Linked DNA regions of Arabidopsis thaliana. The protein of the gene in region 1 interacts with the protein of each later gene in a pairwise test. Each region holds a gene or a part of one and is shown on either strand. Other genes may lie near its edges.

Evidence for each region.
Region 2: the proteins of BBX26 (region 1) and ZFP11 interact in a two-hybrid assay, tested with the Arabidopsis thaliana proteins (one large-scale study listed by BioGRID).

What each region holds. Positions count from the first base shown.
Region 1 is NC_003070.9:22,215,589-22,220,201, reverse strand, and holds BBX26 (B-box zinc finger family protein), read left to right. Parts: upstream 1-2,369; coding exon 2,370-3,125; downstream 3,126-4,613. Other genes in the region: AT1G60240 (NAC (No Apical Meristem) domain transcriptional regulator superfamily protein), read left to right, coding at 4,256-4,613.
Region 2 is NC_003071.7:17,655,934-17,660,367, reverse strand, and holds ZFP11 (zinc finger protein 11), read right to left. Parts: upstream 2,545-4,434; 5' UTR 2,501-2,544; coding exon 2,483-2,500; exon of another isoform or gene 2,361-2,482; intron 2,280-2,360; exon of another isoform or gene 2,279-2,279; coding exon 1,574-2,278; 3' UTR 1,392-1,573; downstream 1-1,391. Other genes in the region: VOZ2 (vascular plant one zinc finger protein 2), read left to right, coding at 4,087-4,290, 4,407-4,434. UniProt on the Arabidopsis thaliana protein: Probable transcription factor that may regulate cell division and growth.

The DNA.
Region 1 (4,613 bases):
AAGGTATACTTGCTTATACATAACCCTCTTTTGAATGTATAAGAAGCAACATACTATATACAATGTGCAGGATAAGCAGGGTGGTTCCATAGGCTTTGGCTTATATTTAATGGGGTTGACTCCTTCTACAAGCTCCAAGGATGATGCCATTGCAACTCAAAGAGCCAAAGATTTCTATTTCGGTTGGTGAGTCAGGCACAAACAGTTCTAAAAGGTTTTTCAAATTGGGCAACATGTGCAAGATCTTAAGCTGAAAAGAAAGAAAATCTGCTCTTTAAAACTCAGGTTCCTTGGACCTCTTATATTTGGAGACTATCCAGATACAATGAAAAGAACCATTGGATCAAGACTGCCAGTTTTCTCAGAGGAAGAATCAGAACAAGTTAAAGGCTCATCTGACTTCATAGGAATCAATCATTAGTTTGCGGCTTCTGTCACAAACATCAAATTCAAACCTTCTATTTCTGGAAACCCGGACTTCTACTCAGACATGGGCGCATATGTGACTTGTATGAATCAGACTCATTCTTTTGTATAACAAAAAAAAAACCTCTTTTATCTTTATAATTTGTTACTACTCATTTTTTCTTCGTTTTACTGGTTAGAAGACCTTGGGAATTTTTCAGTTATAGAGGTAAGAGTTTTAAGGCTACCAAATTCAGATACAAAACACCTTATATTCCTTGACATTATAAGTCTTTAAACAAATAAGTGCTACTAATCTATCTTTCATTGTTTGTTTTGTTTTTGTTTGGACAAGTATCCTGTTGCTCCGTGGACTATGGAAGCTGTCCTAGAGTATATAAAGCAGAGCTATGACAATCCTCCTGTCTACATTCTTGAGAATGGTCAATCTCTTCTATGATTAATTTATTCGTCTCTCCCTCATGTTTTTGATTTGGACTTAAAATGTCATATACAAACAGGTACACCGATGACGCAACACAAGGATACACATAGGGTGGAATACATGAATGCTTACATTGGTGGTGTGCTCAAATCCATAAGGTAAGTAAAGTTTTTTTATTGCATCTTTTCTTCTCTTATCTTGTTCGTGTAATTAAGGAAAAGGACATTGCTACGTGTAGGAATGGATCAGACACTAGAGGCTATTTTGTATGGTCATTTATGGATTTATTCGAGCTTATAGGGCGGTACGATTATGGTTATGGATTGTACTCTGTAAATTTCAGTGATCCACATCGCAAGAGATCTCCTAGACTCTCTGCTCATTGGTACTCTGATTTTCTCAAGGGCAAAACTTCTTTTCTTGATTCCAAAGGCATCAAGGAATTGCAGAGCAACTTCTCTTCTTCCTCTTAGTACTGTGATGAAATAACTCTTATGTTCTACTGAATTTAGACTACTTGTCATGAGAGCCACTTCTTTTTTTCTATAAATTCTAAATTAAACTAGTTTAGTAACTTTACACGACAAAATAATGAGAAATCACAGATGCTGAATACAAGAATTGCCCGTTTTTAAATGCTAAAAAGAAATTCGTACCCAGGCCTAAGCATGACATCAAGTTCAAGCTAGCATTGTATCAAAAAACCATATTACAGAACCATACAAACACTTGAATAGTTAGTAACTCTTAGCAAAGTTGTTTTTTACACAAAAGCATGCTAATCCGCATCAAAAAAGAGACACAAAAGAGCAGCTTCAAATTCATATACCATCCATTGTTAAGGCTGCATTTCCACATTAAAAAGAACAAAAGCGCAGCTTCCTACCTACATGTGAAAATCATAACAAAGACTGATCAGAAACTTAAGTATGTAAGTACTAAGCTAACAATCTAAACTCTAAAGCAAAATAGTTATACAAAAAAAAAAAACTCATTAATTTACCTGTTTGTCCCCCGTTTGGTTATGTTGATAAAGTTGGGATATTTTTTTCTTCAAAAAAAAAAGATTTCTACATCAAAATTTAAGAAACGACATTATTCTTACTGATCTTTAAGATCCGATAAAAGGAAAAAAAAAAACTTTATTCTTAACAAAAAAATGAGAAACAAGGATCAATTTTTCAAATATCATATAATTATCTTTTTTCTTTCTTATTCTCAATTAATAAATGTAATGTTGAATTTTGAGAATAATTTATAGTTAAAGATAAGTATATAACTTAGTAAAATATATCCTTCTACATAATCAGTTTGTTAAAAAAAAATCTACAAATTAGAAACTCCATCTAAATACGAGCTTCACAGATTGTTTCACAGAGAAAACAAAACTTTGGCTTCCTTCTCTCCTTGGTTCGTGTAAGTTGAATGTTTTTTTTTATTTTAAATTCGTGTTTCTTCTCTTCCGTTTTGCGAAGTTGATAATTTTGTTATAATCTTATATGAATATTTTTCAGGAAACATGGCTCAAGTTTGTCACACATGTAGACATGTAACAGCCGTGATCCATTGTGTTACAGAAGCTCTTAACTTCTGCCTTACATGTGACAACCTTCGCCATCATAATAACATACATGCAGAACACGTACGTTACCAACTTTGCGATAACTGCTCGATGTATCCGTCTATACTTTTCTGTTATGAGGACGGGATGGTTCTTTGTCAATCATGTTATTCGCACCATTACAATTGTGCCACTAATGGCCATCAAACTCAAGTCGTCTTCGCTAACATGAATAATCAACACCATGATCATGCACATATGCCTCATGTGGTTCACCATAACAATAACAATAATCATCAGCAGCAGCATGTGGGTGGTCACCAAAGAAGAGCAGAGATGTTTGAGAGGAGCTGCCACGGGGATAACAATTGCGAGAGATGGATGTTTGCAATGAGATGTGAGTTATGCGTAGCTTCGAATTCAAATGCTGTTGTTTATTGTCCTACACACAACCAGATTCTATGCGATAGTTGCGACCGGATGATTCACAGTCACGAGGACGCGGTGCCGCCGCATTCGAGGTGTAAGCTTTGCGTAATCTGCAAGAGACCTTCTCGCCGTTTTCTCATTGGCGGCTATCAGTTTAATTTCCCACCGGTTCATCCTCCTGCGGCAGAGGGGATTCCAGTTACGCCCCCAACAGAACTACCTCAACAAGATATTAATTATGATTATCTAGATGATGTTGATGATTTTTCTTGGTTTGGTAGGTGAATAGAAAATCGTCTTCTTTAGCTTTTTATTTATGTGTGTTTCTTAGAGTTTTCGTTAGGGGTTTAATTCTTGGTGTTATAATTGCTTCTGGATTTGAAAAAGAAAAGAAGAAGAAAAAAAAAACAATCAGTTGGATTTAATATGTTAGAAGAAAATAAAATGTCAAAACTAACTCCAATTTGTTCGAGGATGGAAGATATCATATCTTGATGTATGTATATCTCATCATTTAACTAGAAACTATCTAGAAACCACAATTACCGAAAAAACATAAAACAATTTTGCTAAAATGTTAAGAACACAAATTAATTTGATTAACAATCGATGCTTAAGGGGTTTATAGGAATTAAATAATATTTTTTTTTCAACAATAAAATTAAATTTCACTTTGCGATTTTAATTTTATTTAAGAAAGTCAAGAACCAACTCCAATATTTCCGGGGATGTGATTTTCTCAATAAAATCGTCTAATTATCTTGATTTTTGATGTTGTTGTTGTACTTTACGTGAATATCTCACAATTAGTAAGCAGAGTAGAAGATTTTGATTAGTATGACGACAAAAAATAGTACAAATAAAATTTACATGACCTTTTTTGTGTTAAAAAAAGTTACATGATGTTCTGCAAGAAAATATGCTTGTATAATAAATAATTTTTATTAATATTTTATTTCTGACTATTTTCTTCAATAAGAGAAAACATAGTCATTTTGTAAAAGGAAAGAACGAAATAAAAATGCAAATTCTTCACGTTTTGTTAAATAGATCTAATTTAGTTCTTATTTAAGAACTTAATATTACATCTTTAAACCAAAGTAAAATATACAAATATTGACAACTATCGGTCTAATTATTTCAATAAGCAAAGATTATAGAATAATTTCGTTAAGTGTATATATCGAAGAGAAAAAAACAAAGGACAAATCGGTCAATTCACTAATTTGATATAAACGGTACCAACAGATGACGAAGCGCCTCTCTATATATAGAGTACCTTCTTTCCCAAGAAACACTATCATCTTCATATTTTACATCTTCCGTTTCTTGTTTCTCTCCCTTCATCAATCATCATCAGCATTTTCCTTAAATCTTCTTCTTCTAAGAGATCTTAGTTTCACTGAAGAACGAAGATGATGAAGTCAAGACGTGAACAATCAATCGAAGAAGCAATCGTCGCAAATTATTTGAAGATGATGATCGATAACGTAAACGTTTGGCCTCGCCACTTCCTCCGAAGCGAAGACGTGTACTGCAAGAATCCGTGGACGCTTTTCGTTACTAGAGATCCTATAATCCTACACTTCGGACGATACTTCTTCGTTAATCGGAGTGTGAATTCAGGTTTAACCGATGGATGTGAATACGGTTGTTGGAGAATCATCGGTCGTGATAGAGTGATCAAGTCGGTGACGACCGGGAAGATTCTAGGGTTAAAGAAGGTTTATAAGTTCTGTGAAACTGATCGGAAACCGAAATCGGTTTTTAAGT
Region 2 (4,434 bases), on another chromosome or scaffold:
TGCAACGGAAGGTGATTATTGTAAGAAACACTAAAACTTGGGGATACATTTGTAAGAAGTAGAAAAATATTAGGCTGCATGATGAAAATCTCTTACCTTTCACATCACCCAAACACAAATAAACTCACTGTAATTATTATTCATAGAAAAGGGAAGAATTGAAGGGAACGTAGAGATTAGAGTGGAAAGTGATCGATTCTAAAAAAGGAAAGGTGATGATGGATTGTATATATTAAATTAAAATTGTTGGGGAAGATGGAAAATGTCAGATTAAATTTGTTCATGGGGAAACCACAAACATCCCAAATGTATTGACCAAACATTCCATTTTCTTGTTTCCTTTTCACATCACTTGTTTTCTAATTTTCTAATCTTGTCTCCTACACTCTTGGCTCTTGATCTGTCTGTACTCTCTACATTCATTCATGTTTAGTATAAATATAGTTGATATGGTATTGAATTCCATGACCAAAAAAAGTAGTATAATCACATGCCATCAAAATTGAATATTGTTCAAATTTAATGGTTTTTGATTGTATATTCGAAAAGAGACATTATTATTTGAAGAAATAACTAGGGATGAAGTCTCTTTTTGAACTACATATCCATCCACACTCACACGTGTGATGAATCAAAGAAGTATAAAATTGTTTTAATTTAATAGTAACATTTTGTTGGTCAATATGAGTGGTTGAATTTGACTGAGGCATATTTAGATATTAGCCTGGCATTTAATTTGATTAACAAACTCTCGTTTGTTTAGGCACACGAATTTGATCAAAGTCACATTCACAACTCTGAATTCTCCATCTTCCAACGGTTCTTCAGGCTTTCGACTATATATAAACTGAATGTGGAATAATTTAAAGACATTTTTCTCAACAATGAGAAAATTGTTTTCATTTTTTTCACGCACACATACCATTAAGTGCTTTCACGACATGCATGAGAAATGCTAGATATATGTAATTATACATAAAGATGTGATGGTGAGTGTAAAAGATGAAAACATTAACTATTCATGAGTCAATTGATCATCATCCATCTTTATATGTTTCATAGTACCACTTTGTCGCATGCGTCTGTGTCTCATCAACCCATCTCTATAATAATGCAATCTTTATCACTTTTTGTCTTTCTTAATACTCACATACACATGCAACCCACTTTCTCTAATCCTAATTTCTAGCTTCTATACTGCACGTAATTCTACTACACAGTTTCATATTGTATAACAACATTAGGGATGATTGAAATTGACAAATTTATAACCAATAATAACACAATTAATAAAGTTAAAAAATTATAACATCGTTGTTTTCTTTTAAAAATCTTCTCTTGATTGAAAAAACTAGGAAAATAACACATATACTGTTGAACACTCTTGATAAAAAAATCATATGGAGATTTTTTCAACTTTAATTTCATTTTGACTTCCAATAAATTTAAGCCTAATACTATTTAATACCATTAGCCTGAATGCAATCACAATCTCTAGCTCACGTACTGCTCAGCTAAACATGATTATACTAGATATAATTTTGAAGTACAAATACTAGCTAATCAAAAGAATTTAGAGGTAGCCTAGTCGAAGCTCCAAATCAAGAACTTGGTTGGGATTCCTCAAACTCATCCCAAGCTCCAACCCCATGACTTGATCATCTTTCTTATTCATCAGATCCCCACGGCTTATCTCACATCTTACTGAATGACATGCATCGATGGCACTTTTCTTGATCTCTCTGCTACATACATTGCTCTTGTTCTTCTCTCTGTCCATCATCAAACCTCCATAGCTAGTAGTACTGTCCAAAAGATCAAACCGGGCAGAAGGAAAAGGAGTGGTTTTGGATCTCTGGTTGGTTAGGGAAGGCTCAAGATGAGCTGTTGTTGTTGAAGAGGAAGAAGAAGAGCTAAAATTAGGGTTAGGGTTTGCAATAGGTGTGTGGTGGTGAGGTTCGAAGAGCCAAGAAGGGATCTGCCTGAGTTTTGCTCTGTCTCTTCTATGAACATTCATGTGGCCTCCAAGTGCTTGAGCAGATCTGAACTCTCTCCTGCAGAAGCTGCAAGTGTAATTCTTGGGAGGCCATGGGATCAGCCCAGCTTCGTAATTCTTGTAGTGATTCATGATGACTCTGTTGTCACCATTACCGTCTTCTCCTTCTTCTTCTTGGGTTTTGTCTCTGTTACTAAAACTTGCCAAATGTGTTCTCTTCATATTTTCCAACAGATGATGATCAATGCTGGTGGTGAATGATGAAGATAGTATGATACTCCCCTGCATGAAATAAACTAAGATGTTATGTATGTATATATTAATTCAAAAGTGAGAAAGAATAAGAGTGGGGGATGATGAAAACCGTATAGATAGAGATTTTTGAGTTTGATGAGGAACTAAGGAAGAATGTAACTACGGAGGAGTTACTATGTGTTATATAGAGTCAAAAGGGAAACAAAAACAGAAGGTGGTTTTTATCCTTACTTGAGGAAGGAGGTGCATGTACGGATGATCATTTATTAGGGTTTAAGTCTGTTACATGTTTGGTCAGATATATTGGAGAATAATGAGTATAGGCTAGGCTATGTTCGATTAGATATCATGAGTGGAAATTATTTAAAAAAATAAAATAAAAAGAGAGAAAGAAAGAGACAAAGAGGTAGTTTCATGATTAAGAGGGAGAGAAAGAGGAATTGAATAGAGGCTACTTAACTCATGATGCTCATATGCCTGCAATGTGTCTGCTTGTTACTATAATTGGAAGTTACTTGAGACCAATGTTATTGTGGTATGGGAACTCTGTGTTGCATTAATATTTTGTGTCAAAATCTTGCAGGGAGATAACTTGCCATTTCATTTTCATCATATTCCATCTCTGGCTCCACAAATCTCTTCATTATATATATTTGAACATCTATTATATACACACAAGATAGCCTAAAAATATGAACATGTGTTTAGTTTTTTGATATGGAGAGATTGTAGTGAATAGTGATGGAGGGCCAAAAGAAACCAAAACTATTACTAATTGATTTTGACATTGATTAGAAGAAACTGTAAAGGAAAGAAACAAGGCTTGTGTATGCATTAAGGACATAGACAATGACGTCCCTGATGTCTTCAGAGTTATTGCAGCTTATATCCATAACTAAGAAAACTTACATATTACTTTAAAACTAAGTAATAAACCAGTAACGCTAACAATCGTATGCCACATCTAGACAAGTGTAAACAAAATTGGTGGATATAGAATTATAACCCTATCAGCATATCAACTTTATGGGTTGAGGAACTCAATTTCGGTTGTCAAATATATATTGTGTGACAAATTTTAACTTATCAAATTTTATTCTCATTCCTTAATCAAGCATTAAAGTTTTCTCAATTGACCAATCTCTAAGAATTGAAAAAATAATCTTCATCTAGTTAATGCATATCTATTGAATTTGGAAAATTTAAAAGTTTTTTTTTATTAATTTTGTTTTTGGGAAAATCATAAAAGACACCCTCCCCTCAATAGAAGATGAAACGCGGCGTTTCATAAATAAAAACGAGAAAATCAAAATCGTCGCTCTCTGTTTGCTGGCGTAACTTAGCCTTGTTCTTCTTCTTCATCGCGATATCTCCGGTGTCTTCTTCGTCTCCATCAGAAGAAGAAGCTCTCTGTATCCATCCATATCGAAAAAGTATGAACTTTATCCGAATTTCTTCTCAATTTTATGGATTTATTAGTCAGACTCATGTTAGGGTTTTGTTCGATTTCATGAATTTAGGGTTGAAATTTTGCTTGTTTGTATAGACTCTAATGGAACTGATGGTTTGTTTTAGGATTGGGTTGATCTAAAAAAATGCTTTTTTGCTTTGTTGTTGTCGTGAATTCTGCTCAATACCTTCCATTAAGTAATCAGTTTTGGTTTGTGATGAATAGCCAGAGATCGGAGGAAGGAGAGAGAGATACCAATCTCTGTTGCTTTGGTTTTAAGGTAATGTGTTTGTTTCCTTCCTCATGAGAATCGGAATATTAAGGTATTTTGTGGTTAAGATTTTAGTTGATTTTTGAGAATGGTTTTGGTCAGGGTTTAGAGGAGATGTCAAACCACCCGAAGATCACATCGGCGCATCAGAATGTGGAGGAGAAGCTAAGGGAACTTCAGGAGAGGTTCTGTCATCTTCAAGCTGCTAGGAAAGAAGGGCGGCATGGTGACCTTGCGCTTTTAGAAGCCCAAATCTCTCAGAATATTCGGGAGTGGCAAGCTGAACTCACTGCTCCTTCTCCTGAATCTTCTCTGTTGGTTCGTCCTACTCCATTACCATACTTCTCTATGGTTTATGGTTCCAATTCTTTGAAAAATAGTGAATCTGTAAGCTTGGTTGAGATTTAGCTCTTTTGGTCTTTAACATGTTGCAGGGTGAAGGTATTAGCCAATTCCTTGAGG